Tamandua tetradactyla: one gene and its partner. The protein of the gene in region 1 binds, or shares a complex with, the protein of each later gene. Links are inferred from orthologs where the notes say so. Each region holds a gene or a part of one and is shown on either strand. Other genes may lie near its edges. The genes, in order: RNH1 and RNASE1.

Region 1 (7,724 bases):
CCTGCCTGCTGGCCCCGGCAGCCACAAGTCCCTTTCCAACGGGAGCCCCCGGACCCTGCGTCCTGAGTCTCCCCTTCCACGCCTCTGGCTTTGCTCCCCTCGGGACCGGCCCCGCCTCCCCGGGCATCATTCACTCTGCAGCACAGCCCTTCCGCCCCACCCAGCTGGGGTTACCCGACTGCGGACACCCCATCACTCCCGTTTGTGCCCAAGGCCTCGTTATCCAGGGCTGCCGGAGGCCCCCAGAAGGAGCCGCGGGGGTCAGAGCCGACTGCTCGAAGCAGGGGCGAGGCCGGACCCCACCCAGCCAAGCTACTACGGACTCGGGTGCCCTGTCTGGGCCCGCCTGCTGCCCCGTGTCCCCAGGCTGCGCATCGCCCGGCTCCCGCCAGGCCGTGCCCCGCCGGAGGGGCCGGGGAGAGCGGCGCCCCCCACGATAAAACAGGGCTGCCTGCGCCCAGGATTTGGGGGTTCGGCAACCCGTCCCCTCAGCGTCCCCGGGAAACAGCACGTGGTCGCAGCCATCGCCGGCCAGGCGGGTCACGGGTCACGCGCGGGGCCTGGCGCAGGCCGCTGGCTCTGAGGCCGGAGGCACGGCCGCTCGGACCCCAGGTGGTGGGTGCGGCTACCCGAGCGAGGCCAAGCGAAGCCGAGGCGGAGCGCGATGGGCCGGGCCCGGCTCATGACCCTCAGGCCCGCAGGCCGCCTGCCCCCGCCCCCGCCCCCGTGAGGCTCCCTGCGCCTGGCGGGAACCAGGCGGCTTCGGGGACGCGCAGCCGGGCCCGCCGCGACCCCCGCCCGCCCCAGGCCTGGGGTCCTCCGCCCGCCCGCAGACGCCGCTCCCGACGCTCACCGCGCGCCGTCGCCGCCCCGGGAGGCCGTGGGGAAAGGCGGGGTCCGGGCCGCCGCGCGTCACGGGGCGGGGCCTGGGCAGTTTCGAGTCACGGGGTGGGGGCGGGGCCGCCGCGCGTCATGGGGCGGGGCCTGGGCAGTTTCGCGTCACGGGGCGGGGGAGGGGGCGGGGCCTGGGCAGTTTCGCGTCACGGGGCGGGGGCGGGGCCGCCGCGCGTCATGGGGCGGGGGCGGGGCCGCCGCGCGTCACAGGGCGGGGCGGGGTCTCGCACTTCCGGGTCCCAGGCGCGCGCCCTCGCCCCCCGCTCTCAGCGCGGCCCCCATCGCGGGAAGCCCCCTCCGCTTGCCCCACCCGCGCCGCCGGCCGCGCGCACGGGGATGAAGCTGGGAGCTCTGACGCCCGTCTCACTGCCCGACCTGACCGAGCGACGCTGCGGGTCCCTCCAGCTTGCACAGGCCTCACGGAGCGCGCCCAGGTGCGCGGCACAGGCGCCTGCGGGAACCCGCGGCGCGCCGGAAGGCGAGTAAACCCGTGAACAATCTAGATGCCCAGCCGGAGAAAGAGGGCTGGACGGCGCCCACCCAGACGCTATCCGCGGAAAAACCTATAATTAACACGGAAAGACCTTCAAGGACAGTTTTAAGTTTTAAAACAATGCACAGTGAGACATTTTAGCAACTCTGAAAGTACTCTTGAGTTCTTTCGTTCCCCCGCATGGATAGGTCACCCACCTCCAGTGGACAGGACCGCGCCCACACACGTGGACGGGCTCACCCTCCGTGAGGCGCCCACCAAAGCCAAAGCCTGTGCTGTGGGTTCAAATGTGTCACCCAAAGGCCACAGTCGCGTGCGAACCCCGGTACCGCTTAGGGGGCTTTGTAGATGTAATTATCTGAGATGAGGGACAAGGTGGGCCCTAAGTCCAATCGGACTAGACGGGGAAGTGGGAGCGCAGGTGAGAGGGCACGTGACCATGGAGCCCCCACTGGGGCGATGTGGCCACAAACCCAGGGGCTCCTGGGTCCCCCAGGAAGCACGGCCAGCCCACACCTCCATTTTGGAATTCTGGCCCAGAACTGTACAGGAATAAATCCCTATTGCTTTAAGTCACCTGGCACGTGGGCCTCTGCATGGAGGCCCCAAGCAATTGATACAGCATGTTTCTGCCAGGCTCGCCCACAGGTGTGGGGCGCTTTCCTGAGGGTTCCTCACAAACCCTAAGGGGAGAAATTAGGGTGTAGGGGACGGTTACGGTGGCTGCACCAGGGAGACAGCCTCCTTGCTCCCTGGCCCGCGGGAGGAGACGCCTGACAGCTCTGGCCTGGGCCCGGCTGCTTCCACCTGTGTCCCTGTGATGTAAAAACCCTGTGGCTGAGCCTCACTTGTACCCGTATCCTGGTTTTCAACTTTGGAGTCTGATCACTAAAGACGGCCCTGATGGTGATTCATGAAGGGTCAGGTCAGCCCAGGACTGCCCCACCCCACGTTTGAAGTTCTGTGGACAGAGGAAGCTCCGTGGGAGCCGAGCGGGCCGCCTGCAGCGCGGCACCTGGACCGCAGCGGCCGGCACATGCCTGCAATTAGATCATCCGTATCGCGTGGTCTCGGCCGTCCCTCGAGCCCCCTACCCTCAGCCCTGCGCGTCCGAGATGCTGACACCATCAGGGTTTGGGTCGGGGCCCCCAGACTGCCGGACTCCGACGGGGCGCGGGGAGGGCAGCTTTCCCTGCACTATCCAGGGCGCCACTGAGAGATCCCGACCAGGGGAGGGGGTGTGGGAGGCAGAGGGGGTGAGGCGGGGAGGGTGTCCAGAAGCCAGGCCAGGAGGGGCCCTCCGCCCGGGGCTACCAGGCCCAGGGGTCAGTCTGCGGGAGCCTTTGGCCAGGCCAGGTGTTGCCTACGCGCCTTACGGGCCGCCAAAGGAGCAGGGGGCTCGGGGCCGCCGGCGCGGGTCTGGGGGCGCAGACCCACCACCCCGGCCGGCGCTCCCAGCGGGCCTCCCCGGAGGGCGGGGGCGACGCGCGGGGGGCTCCTCGGGGCGGGAGGACGCCCGCGGGGCAGTGAGGCCGCAGCAGCGCGAGGGCACGCATGCGCAGGGACCCGACTGAGGCCGGTGCCGGAAAGGGCAGCCAGGACCCGCCGGCCGCATAAGCGACCCGTAGGCTCGGAGCGTAACTGACCTAGGGGCGACCGACGGGCGACAGACTGCCACTGGCCTGGGACGGACCGCAGGACGGCGGCTCCTCTTCGAATCGTGGCGTGGCTGGCGGCGCCGGCAAAGGGCAGGGAGCCGGCGCGGCCAGCTGGGGAGGGGCGGGGCCTGCGGGGGGGCGGGGCCTGCTGGGGAGAGGTGGGGTCTGCTGGGGAGAGGTGGGGTCTGCTGGGGAGGGGAGGGGTCTGCTGGGGAGAGGTGGGGTCTGCTGGGGAGGGGGGGGTCTGCTGGGGAGAGGTGGGGTCTGCTGGGGAGGGGAGGGGTCTGCTGGGGAGGGGAGGGACCTGCTGGGGAGGGGAGGGGCCTGCTGGGGAGGGGAGGGGTCTGCTGGGGAGGGGAGAGATTTGCTGGGGAGAGGTGGGGCCTGCTGGGGAGGGGAGGGGTCTGCTGGGGAGAGGTGGGGTCTGCTGGGGAGAGGAGGGGTCTGCTGGGGAGGGGAGGGGTCTGCTGGGGAGAGGAGGGGTCTGCTGGGGAGGGGAGGGACCTGCTGGGGTGGGGAGGGGACCCGCGCCGATCGAGCCTTAGGCTGACACGGTCCGAGCCCCCTCTCTCCGCGTCTACGGACTCGCGGACTGACGGACTCACTGACTGACGGACTGACCGGCCGACAACAGTGTCCGGGGAGGGCGAGGCGGGCGGGGCTGCCGGTAACTGCGCCCGGCCGCGGGATGTTTCCGCGGAAGCGGCGGTGGCCCCGGTGCGCCCTTGAGGCGCGGCGGGGCGCGTGAGGGACGTGGGCGGGGGCGAGGACGCGGAGCGGGCCGCCCCTCCCTCTAGTGGCGGGGGCCCCTGCCCGCCGCGGGGCTGCGGGAAGCGCCCAGGTCCTGCTGTCACGTGCGTCCTCCGTCACGCCGCGGGCACTGAAACGGTCGGCGCCGATGGCGTCTATGCTGCTTGCACGAGCCTTGTCCCGTGGAGCGTGAGGGCCGACCGAGGAAGCGGGGCGGGCAGGGACGCGCGTGGGGTACAGGGAGCGCGGGGTCTGCACTTGTCCCTTTGAACCGGTCTGGTCCGCCCAGGATAGGGTCCAGAGCTCTCAGCGGCCCCCCGACCCCCGGCCCATCCACTTCCGTTCCTCTCGCCTTCACCCCCCGCCCCCACCTCCCGGAGTGGGGAGAGCTCAGGGTGTGTCCTGCCGGTCCCTCAGTGCCTGCCTCGACCCCACTCGTGGGCTCACGCGCGAGGCCAACACTGGGGCGGCTAGGAAGGGGGGCGTCTGTCCCTGCTCCACTTTTGTAAATGCGATTCTCTTTAAAACTCCCTTTTTATGAGCTGGAAAAGCTCACAGAAAAGTGCACGTCCTGTGCGTGGACAGCCGCGTTTCACACGCAGTGGTCACGTCAGCGTGCCACTTCTGGTGTGGAAAACACAGGTACGATGCAGGGCTCGCGGGGACTTGAGGGGGAGCGTGCTCGGTGGTGAGTGGGGGGCGGCCGTATCCGGACGTCCTGGAGCCAGGGCTGCGCGGCCGTGTGCGCGCTCCAGACCCCAGGCCTGTGACAGGCGTGCAGCCGGGGCCTCGACGGGGGGCCTCGACGGGGGGGGGGGGGGCCTCGATGGGGGGCCTCGATGGGGGGCCTCGGCGGGTGCCCCCCTACTTCCCCCTCCCCCTCCCTCCCTAATAAGCCAAAGCCCTGGGCCCAGCGGCGTTGAGCGGGACGGGAGGACAGACGGAAGCAGGTCTCAGGGGCTTCAGCGACAGCACGACGCGTACAAACGCTGTCATGCGTCCCGGAAGGGGGCAAAAAGAATACGTGAAGAAAAAATGGCCCCAAATTTCCCAACGCTTATGAAAGAGCTAAATTTCCATGTCCAGGAAGCCGCGCACTGCAAAGGCTAGCGGAGCCACGCGGAGGGGTCAGCGCCGCAGACACGCGACCCTGAGAGCAGCGAGAGAAACGCGATGTGCCACGTAGAAGGACCCTCCAGACGAAATTCCACTTTCCCTTCAGAACCATGGAAGCAAGAAGCAGTGGGATATATGGGGGCTGAAAGAGAAAAAGTGCAGCCGAAAATTCTTTATTTTTCTGTCCTTCAAAAAGAAATCTTTTGAACTAAAAATAGTTTTTAAAGTTCACAGATAAAACAGAAGCTGAGCATGTTCCCCACCACAAGAGACCTGCCCTACAAGAACTACTAAAGGGAGTTCTGCAGGTTGAAAGGAAAAGACAGGAGATGCTTAGAGCAGCATGAAAACAATAAGTCATTACTAGTGAAGGTAACTAAAAGAGTAAATGCAAAACCCGGTAGTACCGTGTCCTCAATGTACGACGCTACTCTACTTCCTATAAGGGTCAGAATATAACTGAACTTTAAAACAGTCATATTTCCTGATAATGGACATGAAAAATATAAAGAGGTATTTGGGGACAAAAACAATATTAGGAGAAAAAGGGACGGATACAGGAGCAGAGAACGGGTGTGCTCAGAAGTTAAGCTGGTATCTTTTCAAATTAGTGGGTTGTAGATGTAGGCCGTGTGATGACAAGCCCCAGGCTAGCCACAAAGAAACTATTACAGAAATAGGAACGGAATCTGTGAGAAACATCCCCAAAGATCAACTGTACAGAAAAAGAGGCTGCAGTAAAGGAAAAGAGACAAAAAAGATAAAAGATGTACAAAAAACAAAGGACAGGATGGCTAAAGCAAGTGCTGCCTTCCCAGTAAAACCACCGAGTGTTAATGGACTGAAGACCCGAGTCAGAAGGCAGAGTGGCCGCCTGGATGGAAAGCACCACCCGTGTGCGTCCCGCACAGGCCTCAGGCCCGAAGAGCCCGCGGGCTCACGGTGGAAGGACGGAAAGGAGACTCCGTGCAGGCAGAAGCGGGAGGAGCTGGGGGGCTCCACTGACATCACAAAGCCGGCTTAGGGGCGAAAGCAGTTACAGAAACTGCTAGAGCGAGATGGTAATAAAAGGGCGCCCCACGCAGAGGGAGCAGCGTGGACGGTGCACCCATCCACGGCGACACTGCCGGGGGGCGCGGGCGGTAGGAAACAGCTGCTCGGAAAGGCGGAGAAATGCAAGCGGGGACTCGACTGCGCCCGGAGGCCATGGCTGCGGCCCGGGACCCCCCCAGCCGGGAGTCCTTCCACGCAGGAGCGGGCAGGCAGACGCACGATGTCCTCGCAAGCCCCGCTGGGGTGGACGAGGGGCGGCCTGGGCCGGCAGCCCCGATCCTGTCTGCACCAGGCGCCCCCCACCCCCAGGTCTCCACCCCACGTCCCCACCCCGTCCCCCAGCCTCACACCCACGCCCCCAGCCTGGGTCTTGCTGAGGGAGAAGTGTACCCCGCCTAAGGGCTGGTGAAGTTGAGCCCTTCAGGGCTGGGCGCTTGGACGCTCCCCAGCAGGAGGCCGCAACCTCACCTTTGGACCTTGCAGGACACAGGGCCCACTCGCAGCCGGGGCTGGCAGGTGCCAGCACACGCAGACGTGGGAGAGAAGGGAGCCCCCACAGGAGAGGGGGAGCAGCAGACCAGCCCACCCATCCCTCCGCCCCCCCCCTCGGCCCCCTTGAACAGCACTGCCCCTGCACCGTGGGAACTACTGAGAAACCAAGTGCCACAAACCTTCACACCCAGCAACTACAAAAACCTGACGTGAGTGAGGGAAATCACTTTCAAATTAGCCTTATCAAGATAATCAGATGCCAAGAAAACAGCAAAAAAATTACAAGGCACATGAGAAAAACAAGAAGCTGTGGTCAAGCCAAATGATCAGATTAAAAAGCCAGAGGACAGAGTGGAGAGGTTATCCTGGAGGTTATTGTTACGCATTACATAGATACCCCTTTTTAGTTTAGGGTGTATTGCAGGGGCTGGAGGGAAGTGCCTGAAACTGCTGAGCTGTGTGTAGCCTTGATTCCTGGAGATGATTGTATAATGATACAGGTTTCACAATGTGACTGTGTGATTGTGAAAACCTTGTGTCTGAGCTCCTTTTATCCAGGGTGTGGGCAGATGAGTAAAATAAATGATAGGGGGAGATAAAGGGTAAAAATTGGGTAGATTGAAATACTGTTGGTCCATGAGAGGGAGGGGTAAGAGGTATGGTATGTATGAGCCTTTTCTTTTCTCGTTTTATTTTTCTGGAGTGATGCAAATGTTCTAAAAATGGTCATGGTGAGGAACACATACCTATATGATATTGTGAACCACTGATTGTATAATATAGTTGGGTTGTATGTGCATGGAAATTTCTCAATAAAAATATTTTTTTAAAAATTAAAAAGAACATTTCTTAAAGCCAGAAGAGACAAAGAATTTGGAATTCATAATCAAAGATGTTCAAACAAATCTCCTAAATAACTTCAGTGACTTGGCTAAAGAGATAAAGGATATCAGGAAGACACTAGAAGAACATAAAGCAGAATTGGAAAGAATAAATTAACAGCAGATCACACAGAACTGAAAGGTATGGTAGATCAAATTTAAATTACACGAGACAAAGCGGATTTGAAGAGGCAGAAGAAAGAATGAGAGAACTACAGGACACAGCAACAGAATTTGAATGCACAAAAGAAAAAATGACAAAAAGATGGAAAAACTGGAGTTGGATCTCAGGGAAATGACTTAACAACACAAAGCTCACAAACATAAGAATCAAAGGTGTCCCAGAAGGAGAAACAGTAAAGGGCTGGGAAGATTGCTTGAGGAGAC
Region 2 (8,223 bases), on another chromosome or scaffold:
TGGGGTTCTCTACCCAAGCACAGAAAGGTGAATCTATGACACCAAAGTTTCAAAAGTGAGAATATTGTTATGCTATTTAGTTTATCGCTAAATAAATTTTAAGCCTCTCAGCTTAAAATATGTCTCCCCAGTCTAAGAAGCTTAGGGTTTTTAAGGATTCAAACAAGTGGAGGCAGAGTTGTTACCATTTCAATCATAATTATGAATAACTATAGTACCGTGTAAAGGGGTGGAACTAAGCTAGGACTAAATCAAAATAACCATTACAATAGCAAGTACATTTCCAAAATTAGGGCTACAAAATCAAGAGACCACCAAATCCAGGCTAAAGGGAATGAAGTCTTCTTTAATCAGGAGCCACAGACTCCCAAGTCTCTATCTTTCTGCAGACACCTTGGGTAAATACTTGGGCAATATCTGACCTCCATTTAAGAAGATCCAGGGCTAGGACTTAGGGTGGGAAAGGACATATTGAGAATGCCTATTCTCTGTCCTTGGGGTTGAGAAAAGCTGGGATGGTGCCAGGAGAGATGAATGGAGGTGCCAAGGGAAGCAGGGGCTGGAGACTGGGGCCGTCTCTGTGTTCTGAAGGCCAGACTATTGACTACACCTGGCGGTCTCACCAGGCACGTTGGGGCCATGCTCTGGGAAAGTGCAATCTGGGCCTCAGTGACCTCACACAAGACTCAGATGTCAGGAACACTTTTTCTCCCAGTTTTTGCTGTTGAGTGCATGGCGGTGGAGGTCATGGACAGAGGGAAAATCTTACAAAGCAGTAATATTCTAAAGGAATGATAAACTGCACTGCCCAGAAAGCTTTTTGCTTTTTTTTTCGCCTTTTTATAATTGATCTATCATGTGAGGTGAAATGTTGCTTCCTGGGTAGGAGGCTGAAATGGGACAGTTTTGAATAAAAAGGTACAGCTTTGATATCAGACAAAAGCGGTGGGTTCTCTGCTTGATGCACATAACAGCCAATCCATAACACCGGGGTTTCAAAGAGAGCAAGAGTTTAATGCTATGTGCAAAGGAGGAGAGAAAATGGCCTATTGGTTCAAAAATCTGTCTCCCTGAGTCTAAGGAGCTTAGGGTTTTTATGGGTTCAAACAAGGGGGGTTGGAGTTGTGACCATTACAATAGTAAGTATACACAAGGCTGAAACTAGGCTTTAGAAACCATTACAATAGTAAGTATAAACAGGGATAGGACTAGACTAGAATAACATTATGATAAGAAACTATAAACAAAGGTTAGACTAATTGATTTTCAGTAATTTCAGGTATTAACTTCTGCTTATTCTGCAATATAGAACATAAAATATCTATATAATGATTTCATAATCATAATCATTTGCTAATTCTTAATTTCTCAGGACAATTCCTCCCTTATATTTTTGTCCATTCCTCAATCTTGAGAGATATCTGGGCAAAGCAGTCCTAACTTCTTCATGCTGAAAAGGAATATCATCTTTATGGGGTAGAGGAATGAAACTGGTTGTTGTTCTTGAAGAGACTGGTACCTCTGGGTTTCAGAGCTTAACTGGCATAGGAACAATCTGGAGACTTTAAGTCTCTGAAAAATAAACTTACTAAGTAAATTGAGTAAATAACCTTTTGTAGATTTCAGATAGAACCCTGTTGCTTGGAGAATGACATACTGTGGCATTTTGTAGTATCTGGCTACACCGACAGAAGAGCAACATCCAAAATGACTTCTTGACTCTATTTGAAATCTCATAGCTACTGAAATTTTGTTTTATTTCATTTCCCACTTTTGGTCAACCAATCCCATGATGCCAGGGCTGGGCTCATCCCTGGGAGTCATGTCCCACATTGCTAGGGGGTCTTATACCCTGGGAAGTCATGTCCCATGTAGTGGGGAAGGTAATGAGTTTATTTGCAGAGTTTGGCTTAGAGAGAAAGAGAGAGAGAGACCACATCTGAGAAACAAAAGTGTTTCTCTGAGGGTGACTCTTAGGATTCTTAGTCTTAGTTACAAGTAGGCTTAGCTTTGCCATTACAAAAATAAGTTTCATTAGGGCAAACCTCAATATCTGGGGCTTGGCTTATTAAATTGGGAGCTCTTTTTGCTTAAAAGAATAGCAGGAATTCCTTAGGTAGGGAAATTTAATACTTTCTTCCCCCAGTTCCTCAAGGGATCTTGGAAATACTTCTTCATTTTATGCCCCCAAAATCCTGAAATGCATCAGGGTATTACATCAATTGTACAGAATACTAAGATCTCATTCCCTAGTCTAAGTTCTCTGGCACATAAATCTGAATTAAGTTGTTTAAATGAACTTGCCAGAAAGGTTAAATTAGATGGTGCACCACAGAAAATTTAAGTTTTGAACAAAATTAATATCTCTTCCTTTGGTCTCACACAGAATTTAAGGTCTTAAATATATAGACAAAATCATCTTTTACCCTGCATTATGATTTACCTTAGTCCTAACCAGATCAGCTTCATTCATATCTTTAATTGAAGTCTGATCTTTTTTCAGTTTCTTCAACAGTTACTGTATGAAGTAATGCTAACTTTCAGAGCTGGAGAACTCAGATACCCAATGTTTCTGGGAACTACCAGGTTATATATAAGGAGAAAGCATCTCAGAATATAGAAATAACAGTTAAAACTCAGGAATGTGAGTGCTGTAAGAACTTACTATCTAGGTCCTAATTTTCTTATAAGCATTTTCTAAATAAAGCTATTTTCAGAAATAAAAATATTTGACAGTTGATTTATATTGCAGTCATCAACCACAAACCATAGCAGAAGTTTTTTCCTGTATTACCTTTACACATTTACCAGGGTTATGTTAATTAACAGGTAAAACATAATTTGCATTTGCCTTGCTTCTCTTTTAAAGTGCTTTTTTAAGAGACAATGTCTTTAGAAATCTTATGCAATCTCTAGATATGTAACTAGCATCTTGCTGATACAAATTTAGCTAACAAAAAAATAGAAAATCCCTTTTACTTATTGAAATACCTCCTAAATACTTCCTATGTGATATCACCTCACTTTTAGGTGAAAAAAAAAGCAAAAAACAAAAGCAAATCCTTTGCAACAGTTTGAAATAAAACGCATCCTGTAAGATTTGACTTTGAGAGGGCAAAATGTCAAAACTCATCAGGGTGAACACTATGCTAAACAGGAAACTGGATTACTGTGAAACAATATTTGGTTCCTTATTCAACCAGACTGAAAATAAAAAGTCTCCTAAAACAATGATATGGTCAACATAAGTGTCAACATGGACATTATTCTGACATGACATAAAATCTTTGTCTTCTAGACAGAATACTCAGATGATTAAGAAAAACTTTATAACTTTTCATAACCCTTCTACAACTTTCCATTTCCATTCAGGTTTTGTCTTAACACATGAAAACCAGCCTTTTACAAACCTGCACTCCCTTAGACAAGCTTATCAAATTTAATCAGTGTTGACTACAACAAACAAAATTCACTTCCACAAACTTCCACAACTTTCCATATACATCCAGGCTTCGTCCTACACATTCTCAAGGACAAAACTGCACCCCTTTCTTTAACTAAACACATCCTGTATACTTTACAAGCTTACACTCCTTAAGTTGCCAGAAAGATCTTTGATGCTGTCTTTAAATATCTTACAAAACATAGTCATTTTTAAAATGGTTTGTCAAACTAATAATTTCATTTCACCAAATACAAACTTGCATTTTTTACCATCTTAAAGATCTAATAGATATAATGCTCCTTTTTCTATTAGAGATAAAAATAATAATAACCTCTTTACTTTCATAATATTCTAAAACTATGAGCAACCTTGAACGCATGAGATGCTGAAAAATATAAAACAGTTGTTTAATTTGTCCCAAGCATAAATCCAGGAAACTTTTTCTTAGTTTCAAGGACATTTTCTCTTCTTTACTGAAATTTGGTAGCTAGATCTTATTCAATGATCCCTATTCCAAGGTGATTTATATTTTAATAAAAAATTATTTACTGCTGTAAGCCATTGCGAAGTTACTATTAGAAAAAATTATTTTAAATTGGGGAATTCTCTCAGAGCATGGCCTATTCCGCATTTCCTCTCCAGCCTGGTAGAAAGAAATCTAAACCAAGTCCGTCCTCCCCTCCTCTTTCTGCCCCAACAAGGGTTAGGCTGGTTAGGCTCTGGGGTCAGGGTTAGGTGAGAAAGAAAGAATGAGACCTGGTTTCCAAAGTTTTAAATGAAGGTGATGGGATTTAAGACCCCTAAAATAGCCTTAGTGTTGATGAGAGTTCCTTTGCCCTTCTTTTAATTGCTTCCAATTATTGTATGTACTTCATCTAAAGCCATGACCCAGATTTTTGGAAAAGTTTTTGCCTTTTCCAGAAGCTACCCTATGCTGTTTTAGGGAAATTCTAGGGGCGGTTTCTTCCATAATGTCTAATCTAATTCTAGTGATTAGAGGTCCTAAGGCCTTGAACCCTGGTACCTAGAGGGTTTTTCTATTTTCTTTTCTTCCCTTTTTCTTCTTTTTCCTTTCTGGGACTCCAGGAATACAAATTTATACACACACACACACACACACACACACACACACACACACGCACGCTTATTTATTCTTAAGCAATTCAAATAGAGCTCTCAAGAAATTTTGTTTGGCAATTTGGTATTACCATCTGGAGGTAGGAAAATATACATTGCATAAATAGAAAATTAAGACAGAAAAAAACAGAAACATAGAAATATAAACCTATAATTTGAACTCTATTTTTTCATCCATTTCTGGTATGCTTGCATTTTATAAGTCTTCCTGGGCTTCCCTGTTGTTGTATTCCCATAGGCACTTGCTGGAAGGGTAGAAGTTTTGCCAGTGGCTCTGCTCCTGGTTTTAAAGAGGAACTCTGGCCAAACTGAGTACAGGTATGAAAGGGGGGACCGTTTCTATCTCAGGATCTTTTTCCTTTGTTAAGGAGGGACACAGAGGAGGAGGAGGAGGAAGTAGGGGAGCTTCCTTCTTTCTCGATCTATTGGTCCTTTGGATGCAGGGTGCAGGTGAAGCAGCTGAAGGAGGTTAATAAAGGTGCTACAGGATACTCCGAATTTGAATCAGGTAGGACATTTTTCTTTTTTCTCCATTAATCTTTACAGGTAAAATTTTATATTTTCTCATCAACACTGATGGCTGGGAGAGACAAATAAAGGATTGGACATATATCATCTTATCCCATATCTGCTCTTTTTCAGCACGACCCTAACTTTAATACAGTATTCTTTTCTGTAGAATCATTCTCAGGCCACTTCTCTACTGATTCTAAATCATAGAGGCCAGACTGTGTTACAGAAATAAACTAATCCTTATTTTTTCATAGGTGCATAACTAAAATTTTTCCAAATTTCCAAAACAGCCCAAAGGGCTACATTTAGGAATGCTATTAGAATTAAAATTTCCCATTCTAAAGAATTCCATAAACAGTAATCAACCGGGAACACTTGAACAATCAAATGCAATAACAAACCAACTAAAAATTCAAAAGATGCAATGTTACATATGTATTTAAGTAACACACCAATTAATAAGTAAGCCAACACTCCAATTAACAATTAAACAGGACTTAAACTCATTATATCTTATTATATCTAAGTAACACACCAATTAACAGTTAAACAAGTTTAAACACTTACTAAATTTCAATAAGTACCAATTAATTTATTGGATTACTTCTTTCCCAGGAGTGTACGCAACATAAAAACTTAGGTCAGAGCTATGAACTCCATACAGAATGACAGCGAAAACAGAAAAGGAGCTCAGAGCAAAGGGGAATCATTCTAGAAGTGGGACCCAGAATCTTAAAATCCAGGTCCAGGGTACTTAAACCTCTGTGCTAACTTTTTGATCCACTTTTACCTTGGTAACCCACTTACCCAGTCAGTGAATACCAGTTTGTGCTGAATTACTTATTTTCCAGGAGTATACTCAACAGACAGACTCAGGCCTTGAGCCTATACAGACGAACACAGTTCAGGGCCTTGAAGCCAATACTGAATGGTTCCCAGAAAACAGAAGAGTGTAGAGGTCAGAGCAGGGGGTCGTAGTGGGAACAGGGCCTTAGATCTCAAGCCCAGGCCCGGGGAACATGAACCACCATTCTAACTTCCCAATCCACTTCTGCCTTGATGACCCACTCACCCAGTCAGATGTCTGGACTTGAAATTGGAACTGTTTCTCTCTTTGAAGCTTTTTAAGGCATTGAGGGTCTGGAGTGCCAGAAGAATAGAGAAAAACCTGGTTATCGAGCCTCCAGACTACAAGGTGTCTAGAGGCCACAAGCAGCTTGATTACTTATTTACCTGTCCTGCCAGGGTTCCAGAACTTCAGGTGGTGAACTCCTTCTTAGGAATCTTTGCCCTTCTTGGGTGGCCAAATTGATACCAGGCAAAAGCTGTGGGTTCTGTGCTTGATACATGTAACAGTCAATCCATGACACCAGGGTTTCAAAGAGAAAGAATTTAATGCTATGCATGAAACAGGAGAGAAGATGGCCTATTGGCTCAAAAATCTGTCTTTGTAAGTCTAAGGAGTTCAGGGTTTTTATAAAACATGGGGGGTTGGAGTTGTGACCATTACAGTAGTAAGTATGCATAAGCCTGAGACTAGGCTATAGTTGTCATTAAAATAGGGAGTATAAACAGGCTAGAATAATCACTACAATAGTACCTATAAATAGAGCTGAGAGCAGGCTATAATAAGCATTACAATAGAAAGTATAACCATTACAATAGTAGGTATAGAAGGTTGACACCAGCTAGAACAACCAATACAATAGAAAGTATAAACAGGGGTTATTAGAGTAGTTGATTTTCAGTAATTTCAGATATCAACTTCTGCCTTTTCTATAATATAGAAAGAAAAATAACTATATGATGGTACAGTAATCATAATCATTTAATTCTTAATTTCTTGGTTGCAGCTTTTGACAGGCTTTACTGGCTACACTGTTTCCTAAGAGATAGTGCCATAAGATCGTAAAACCTCCCACATTACTGCAATCTAAATTGACCTTTGACTCCCTGGAGTTACCTACAAATAGTCCAGGACCTCTACCCTGAAAAAGGAATCAGCGCCCTTTGTTAACCTCTAAAGGCTATTTGGGGAAAATAATTCCCACAGTGTTAATGAGGGTTTTGCTATGGTGCCTGAGCTATGAGCCCTGGTAGCCAGTGGCTGTCTCTGCTCTTCCTTGTGAACCAGCAAACATTTAAGTTTCACTTGGCTCCCTCACAGGCAAACACTCATTCTTTCCCCAGCAACCCTGGGAAGGGGGTGGACTGGTGACTGCTGCCCACCACCCACCCCCAGCCCTTCCTCAGTCCTTGTTTCTCTCTGACTTCAAGATGCTCCTCCTACTTTTCTCTTCTTGGAAGCCAAGCCCCTTTGCAATCTTATAAGTGTCCACACACCGGGACTGAGTGACTTCAGAAACTGTCCTTCTTTCTGCTCTCTTCTGGAGACCCAGGTAAAGTGCCCAGGAGCTTGTCTCAGGAGCTACTTTTGCTTGAGGGTTGGAGTGAAGGAAACCAGGGTGGATATGACTAGGATAGAGAAAGTTTGGGCCAGGCAAACATCACCCAGGGATGGAAAATTTGGGAGTATCCAGTCTGCAGAGAATCTGTGGAGCTGGAGAAGGGGGAGTCCCCAAGTCAGGGTTGGGAGGGTGGGTGCATAGGAGCATCTCTCTTTGGATTACAGTGAAATCCCTTTATGATGCCAATGTCAGGCACTGAGCTGAACTTCCCTTGTGCTGTAGGACAACAAGGCAATGTCAGCCATGATCCTGGATGTCATGCTGGTACCTCCTGGATACATTTTGGCTCATGGTTTAATTACAAATTATCTTCTAATGAGCAGTTAAGAACTGGTGCAACCATTCGTTTTTCAAATGTATTTTAGGTTAAAGAAACTCAAGTATCTAACGACAGGACTGCTAGGATTTCAGGTCACTCCCTAATTTTTGTTTGTTCTGTAAAGTAGTATCAGGTTTAGGCAACTCACCTAGAGGGATGGGAGGACTTTCTAGCAAGTGGGAGTAAAATGCTCTTGGAGAGAGTCGTGTGTGAGTGTCTCATTATTTGGTTAATTTTTCAGGAAGAGGGCTTGAAACTGGCTGAACTGAAAGGGAGACTGAAGCCAGAGCAGCCACTGGTGGGAGCTGGGGGTTCTGTTTCTAAGGGGATGCATTTTCATC

What was found.
Region 2: the proteins of RNH1 (region 1) and RNASE1 are in contact, whole or in part, in a crystal structure (PDB 3TSR), measured with the Mus musculus proteins. The link is inferred for Tamandua tetradactyla from reciprocal best matches to the Homo sapiens genes RNH1 and RNASE1. Residues at the interface, in NP_001165571.1 of Mus musculus: Cys7, Asp32, Thr60, Asn89, Asp117, Glu145, Tyr146, Asn174, Glu202, Trp257, Trp259, Glu283, Ser285, Trp314, Lys316, Glu340, Glu397, Ser401, Asn402, Gln426, Val428, Tyr430, Asp431, Ile432, Tyr433, Trp434, Thr435, Asn436, Glu437, Arg443; in NP_035401.2 of Mus musculus: Arg26, Glu27, Lys32, Gln36, Pro48, Thr49, Gln53, Lys56, Arg57, Met60, Asn62, Gly63, Ser64, Cys65, Lys66, Pro67, Val68, Asn92, Lys94, Asn96, Leu111, Lys112, Gly113, Asn114, Ser115, Lys116, Asp121, Ala134, Glu136, Val143.

Annotation. Positions count from the first base shown.
Region 1 is NC_135335.1:362,148-369,871, forward strand, and holds the start of RNH1 (ribonuclease inhibitor), read right to left. Parts: upstream 3,183-7,724; 5' UTR 3,034-3,182; intron 1,381-3,033; exon of another isoform or gene 1,270-1,380; intron 919-1,269; exon of another isoform or gene 854-918; intron 342-853; exon of another isoform or gene 1-341. UniProt on the Homo sapiens protein: Ribonuclease inhibitor which inhibits RNASE1, RNASE2 and angiogenin (ANG). May play a role in redox homeostasis. Required to inhibit the cytotoxic tRNA ribonuclease activity of ANG in the cytoplasm in absence of stress.
Region 2 is NC_135340.1:35,797,721-35,805,943, forward strand, and holds the start of RNASE1 (ribonuclease pancreatic), read left to right. Parts: upstream 1-5,068; 5' UTR 5,069-5,090; intron 5,091-6,167; exon of another isoform or gene 6,168-6,292; intron 6,293-6,328; exon of another isoform or gene 6,329-6,637; intron 6,638-7,372; exon of another isoform or gene 7,373-7,494; intron 7,495-8,223. UniProt on the Homo sapiens protein: Endonuclease that catalyzes the cleavage of RNA on the 3' side of pyrimidine nucleotides. Acts on single-stranded and double-stranded RNA.